Linked DNA regions of Ovis aries. The protein of the gene in region 1 purifies or fractionates together with the protein of each later gene. This does not show direct contact. Links are inferred from orthologs where the notes say so. Each region holds a gene or a part of one and is shown on either strand. Other genes may lie near its edges. The genes, in order: NUP43 and NUP133.

Region 1 (3,831 bases):
TTTTATAAGTTTACCAAAGCTTGGAGAACTTAACTTGGCCCAGGTTTCAAATCGGGTAATAACTGGTGGGAATGGAATTAAGTTTTCAAATTCTGATCTGTAAGACTTCAGAGTCCCTGCATTTTCTTCTGTGGAAAGCTGCCTGACCCTGGGAATTATACTCTCCTAAACGTTTATGGTAGTTGTACAAAATTAAATCAATTGTAGATGAACAGGTTTGAGGGGGGAAATTATTGTTGTTTATTCTTCATGAAAATACTTTTATTTGTATAGCAGTTTTGACTTTGGCATTTTATTTGCTTAGCATTTGTAGGTTCTTTGCATTTTAAAATTGTTACACTGCTAATTGAGTTAGATAAATGGGCTTCTTCCCTGCTGATATTTATGAATTTATAACATGCAGGAATTTTCTGTTTAGTTTTTGGACCAGGAAAGAATTGTAGCTGCTTCATCGACAGGATGTGTGACAATTTTCCTCCACCATCCAAATAACCAGGTAAAGAATTTTTGTTTGAAAACTCAGTTTGCATTTTAATTATTTTTAGGAAGGCTTAAAGAAGGCTATACTTAATAATGACAAATTATAAAGTTTTATTGTCTCAAAAACTATAAAAAGGAGGGGAAAATGTCATTGCATTACCCATCTTTTAGTTGACTAATTCTAGAACCATTTCTGTGTGAACTTTCATTGAAATTGGGTAACTCTTCAATTTTCTTAGGTTCCATGTAACAGTATGGTATTCTGGCAAGTGATTTTCCTGTAACTTTCTGTTAAGATCCTCCTCTGGTTTTCTGAAGAGAGAAAGAGCACTTTCTAGCTCAGACATCATGAGAGGGAGCAGGAACAGCTACTCTACTTCTGTGAACAGAACCGAGGTTGTAATTAGAAGGAAAGATACACTATATGAAGGCTTGATACTTTTTCTATGCTTTTCTTATATGTCAAAGGCTAAGAGTGCTGACTTTCAGAGCATAGTTTAAGGGCAGTCCTTTAAAATAGGCCCACTTGAAGTTAACAGTTTTAAGTTGCTGGAAGAGAATGCTTATTTAGATTTGGATATTGATAAAGGTCATCTTACTAATAGACATGCCTAGTAAGTATAAGACCCAGATCTAGTTAAATGTTATTCTTACAGAATCATCTGGAAAGCCCTGCAGAGATTTATCTCTTCAATGTAGATCAGTTCCCTTAAGAATTTAGAGTTGTCTTTGAACACATAATTACCTGATGCTTAAAAACTGTTTCTTTAGTTTGAGATAAGTTTGGAATATTATTAAACAGGGTTTCTTTGGAATCTGATCTGGTGAATACAGAGCTTTAATGGAAGTATTTCCTAGACCTTAATACTTTGAAATACAAAGCGAAAAGAGTACTATTTTTCTAGAAAGGTATGAAACACAGTTTTAAAATAATAGTGTAGTTAGGGAAAGTGCTAATTATTTGGAGCTTTGCTTTAATTAATCATAGCCTCATTTCTGACACCTAGACTCTGTCAGTCAGCCAGCAGTGGACAGCAGCTCACTACCACACGGGTCCAGGCAGTCCTTCCTGTAGCAATGCACCATGCACAGGTGTTGTGTGCAACAACCCAGAAATTGTCACAGTTGGAGAAGATGGTCGGATAAATCTCTTCAGAGCTGATCACAAGGAAGCTGTAAGAACTATAGGTAAGAAAAATCATCTTTCTTTGGTCTATCTTATAGTAATTCAGCACCTCCTGTGTGCAGTGCCAGGGGTTAAATGTTTGAGGGATTTAGAAATATACAAAGCAGGATCCCTTTATCAAGATAGTATGTTGATAAGGCCTGTATGAAGGACTGACTAGAAGAAAGAGAAATTTGTGGGGAGGATGGTTGGAAGGAATTACTGGATAAAGAATTGAGGGGCAGGGCAATTCATTTAATCTAGATTCTAGACCATAAATAATACTGAGAAGTGGCACGCCAGATAAAGGGAATAGCATAGAGGCGGGGTAAGGCCAGTCAGAGAATGACAGAAAGTGTAGTTTGACCTGACTTTAGATATTTGTGTAGGAGAATTGAGAGATGAAACAAGAAAGGTAGATTGCAGTCAGGTTGTGAAAGATAATACCTTTTTTTAGGTAGACAGCTAAGGAGACATTGAAAGTTTTTGAGCAAAGGGGTAATGTACCCACATCGTGTTTTAGAAGGATTATTTAGTGCAGTGGTAGTGGTTTAGTTGCTAAATCATGTCTGACTAGTGTAGTAGTTCTCAACCATATTTTGCACAGACTTGCCCGAGGAGATTTTTAACAGCCCATCACCCTAGACCTCTTGAATTAGAACTTCTATGGATTGAGCCCATGAATCAGTTTTTTGTATTATTATTATCATTTTTAGTTCTGAGAAATACCATTTGTTTAGCTTTGAAAGACTGCTGGCCTGGTGACAGTTTGGAGAAGGGTCACAAAATAAAAGTCTTTAAGTATATACTAAATAAAGATGTATAAGCTTAGACACACTAGAAAAAGCAGAAGGACCATTAAGGCAAACAGGAAGAACTTCATGGCAGAAAAGAGAGCTGATAAGGATAAAGATGAATCAATTTGAGATGAGTCAGCAGAATAATACAGGGTCAGATTGAGCTCTGTAGGAAGCTGTGGTGTTTGGCCCAACAGAATGGAGGTTCTGGATGAAGCACTTGAGTTCAGTTGCTCTTTGCGACCCCATGGACTGCAGCCCTGTCCATCACCAACTCCTGGAGCTTGCTCAAGCTCATATCCATTGAGTCAGGGATGCCATCCAACCATCTCATCCTCTGTCGTCCCCTTCTCCTGCCTTCAATCTTTGCCAGCATCAGAGTCTTTTCCAGTGAGTCAGTTCTTCACATCAGGTGGCCAAAGGATTGGAGTTTCAGCTTGAGCATCAGTCCTTCTAAAGAATATTCAGGACTGATCTGCTTTAGGATGGACTGGTTTGATCTCCTTGCAGTCCAAGGGACTCTCAAGAGTGTTCTCCAACACCACAATTCAAAACCATCAATTCTTTGGCACTAAGCTTTCTTTAAAGTCCAACTTTGACATCCATACATGACTAGTGGAAAAACCGTATCTTTGACTGGATGGACCTTTGCTAGCAAATAATGTCTGCTTTTTAACATGATGTCTAGGTTGTCTAGGGTGAAGCAGTGGTGGGAGATAAAATTGGATTATAAAGAAACTTGAACAGCTGTCTCAGAAATGTAGTACTCTTAAGTGGAAATAGAGAAATATATGAAAACTTAGTCCTCTAGTTGGAAAACAGTTCAGATGTCCTGTGAGTAATATAATTTTTCTATCAAAGGAGAGTCCATTTTAACATATGTTCCTATATTTTTCCATAGAAATAAAATTGTGACTTATTTAAAGTTTCACTTGTAATTTTTCAGTCAACAGAGGGAACACTGTTTAAGGTATTCATGGAAAAGTGGTGCCCTGTTAACATACACTGCAGTTTTCTTAATTTACAGACAATGCAGATAGCAGTACACTCCATGCTGTAACCTTCCTTCGAACTCCTGAGATTCTTACAGTAAATTCAATTGGACAGTTAAAAATATGGGATTTTAGACAACAAGGAAATGAGCCCACGCAGATATTATCACTGTAAGTTTTGATCTGTAATTTCAGTAGTATAAAGCAAATTTGTTTATTTGTAGCAACTAACTTTATAAGCCATATTGTATTTCAATTGCATGTTAAGAGTAATTTCTGATTAACTTTGATAAAGCAAATACAGTTGACCCTTGAACAATATAAGCATTAGAGTCACTGACCCTCTATACACTCGAAAATCCATGTATACTTTATAGTTGGCACTCTACCAGGAATC
Region 2 (2,627 bases), on another chromosome or scaffold:
AACATCCTTTAACACAAGAATCCAACCATTTCTTATGCCATCTGACAACTCTCTCTCCCTAACTCCCCTAGAAGTGTTAGGACACTCCTCACCCTGATCTCACGCTGCCTCACCATGGCAATGCAGACAGAGGCCAGAGGCCGGGCGGCCCCTTCTTGCCCTCTGGTTACCACTGGGAGCAGATCAGAGGCAGCATCTGCAGCCTGCAGTGGAGCCGGCACGAGGGCTGAGCTCTGCGAAGCCAGGAACCGGACTCTTCACCACATTTAACTCCTGACCTTTTCAGCTGCTGGAACCAAGTTGTTTAGTGAGTATTCAACTGGGCCAAAGCCTGAATATGCCAGCAACTCCGTCTTTATTTAAAGACAGATAAAAACTGCACGATGACACTGGCCAAGACAAAGAAGCTTTGAGAACGACTACTTTTCAGTTAAATCAGTTGCCATACTAAGAAAACCGATAAAGGTTTCTATAAAGGTTTCACACCTTACATTAGCTAGACAGACTGAGGAGAAGCTGGAGTTCAGTGTAAATCATTCTGAAATGCATGACGCTGACTGAATAGGTTGTGGTGGTGGTGGTTTAATTGCTAAGCCATGTCGATGTTTTGCGACCTTATGGACTGTAGCCCGCCAGGCTCCTGTCCATGGGATTTCCCAGGCAAGAATACTAGAAAACGTAAATACGCTTTATTCACCAAGATATTTTTATTAATACTATTATTTATGTAGAAAAATTTGACATCTTTCCCAATGAAGTAAACAGTTATCAAGCTCACACTGAATTGCCCCACTTTTTGTTTTGTCTATTTTATAAGTTAGCAAATTGTGACACTTATCCCAGTAGATATTCTGCTCCCAGCCCTAATCAAAATCAAAACAAATATTCCAGACACTTTGCAGTACATAACATCGAAGAGTCACAGCAATTTCAGAGACGACTTAGTGAAATCTTGCTGTTTTTAGAGTTATAGAAGCTAAAGCCTAGAAGTGGTCTTTGCATACAAGAAGCTGGAACCAGGACCCTGGATGGAGTGAGAAAAAAAGGAACAGTAGTAGATATGAAAACAACTGATAAACTTCAGTGGAAAACAGGAAAAAAAAAACCAGTATCATGTAACTGAAAACCAAAACTACAGTCATAAAACTATTTTGTAGTAGCTTACAAATAAAGTATAAAAAACTCAGAAATATATGTTATAAAACTGTACAAACTCCTAGATGTTTAAGGTCTAAAGTTTTTATAAGGACACACTTATATAAATTTTAAGGAAAAATAATCATTTTAAGAAAAAGTCACATTTGTCCCTGGACATAGTATTCGTAATTGGCTTTCAAAACAAACTCAAAGTAAGGGTTGGACTTCAAACTTCCCAGCTGGTCGGCCTGCAGCAGCTCCTTCACCTCGGGTAGGTACTCACTGAGCTGAATGCCTAAAAATACAAACACAGACAGTTTTGTTTTTTTTTTTAATTTTCACATAATTCTCAAATGAATTAAGATGACAGATGATAGAAACACCTGTGCTTCTATTTAAAATATAACGTCACTCTGCTATTGGAAAATACTCTGTTCTAAATTCCTTCCATCTGCCAAGCATACTCACAGGCCTGACAATATGACAGTCTTCACTTAGTAGGGGCTACATGACTGTTCTATGTATCTGGGCTCCGTGTTTGACTCTAGTGGTCAAAAGAGCCGTCAAAACAGCCATTCCATTTCAAGCCTTTAAAACAATCTGCAACATTTTCATTTTTCTCCATAGCTTAGGCCATTCCTTCAGTGTGGAAGTTTTAAGTTAATAATCACTTGAAAACAAGTATTTCAGGGCCAAGCAAACAGCATTCTAAGCAGCTATACAGTAAAAGAAGTAGAAGGTATCAGTGAAAGATTGCTTATAAACCAGTTGTAAAATTTGTTAAGACAGGAATCCCGAGTTATCAAGGAAGACAAAGTTATACTATACCCTCTTAAAAGACTTTCAGACATTTATCTGTCCCCCAGATCAAAGACCCACTGTTTCACCTGGATGGGTGGTCTCCCCACACTCCAGAAATGCCTGACTGCAGAGGTGCTTATTTGAGAACTGGTTTTTAATGTTTTTTTTCCTAGGGTAATTGGTTCACTTAATTTTTTTAAAATTAATTTCCAGAGTCAACTTTGGTAATATATATTTTCCTTGATTTTGATCAACTTTCTTTTGTATTTCAAGTTTATTTTTGAAAAGACATATAAAATTCTTTAAAAATAAAAAAGAAAACAAGTATTTCCAACAATTCTATATTCTCCTATTCAGGAAATAATATAGTGGAACACTGCCATGAAAGCTATCTGCAGTATCTAACATACTGGCAGTTTCTCTCTGAGACTAGGAGGAGGGAAACCACGCCTTTGTCAGTCCCCTGTGGACCTGGAAAGCCAAAAAGCATCTGTGTAGTTACAGAACAGCATATACAATTTTCTCATTTGATAAATAAAGAAAATTGGAAGAAACATTTTAAATTAATAAGGTAACATTTTATAACCTGTCACATTACCACAAGCTTCTCAAAATCAAATACTGTTTATTTTTAACATCATCTAAGTGCCTAGCACCACTGTTGGTACTTAGTTACTATACAATAAAAA

Evidence for each region.
Region 2: the proteins of NUP43 (region 1) and NUP133 purify together in Homo sapiens (affinity purification with mass spectrometry; 5 studies listed by BioGRID and IntAct, counting the BioPlex papers as one, with this or other methods). This does not show direct contact. The link is inferred for Ovis aries from reciprocal best matches to the Homo sapiens genes NUP43 and NUP133.

Annotation. Positions count from the first base shown.
Region 1 is NC_056061.1:74,004,750-74,008,580, reverse strand, and holds part of NUP43 (nucleoporin Nup43), read left to right. Parts: intron 1-418; coding exon 419-496; intron 497-1,487; coding exon 1,488-1,668; intron 1,669-3,469; coding exon 3,470-3,605; intron 3,606-3,831. UniProt on the Homo sapiens protein: Component of the Nup107-160 subcomplex of the nuclear pore complex (NPC). The Nup107-160 subcomplex is required for the assembly of a functional NPC.
Region 2 is NC_056078.1:970,679-973,305, forward strand, and holds the end of NUP133 (nuclear pore complex protein Nup133), read right to left. Parts: intron 1,433-2,627; coding exon 1,296-1,432; 3' UTR 684-1,295; downstream 1-683. UniProt on the Homo sapiens protein: Involved in poly(A)+ RNA transport. Involved in nephrogenesis.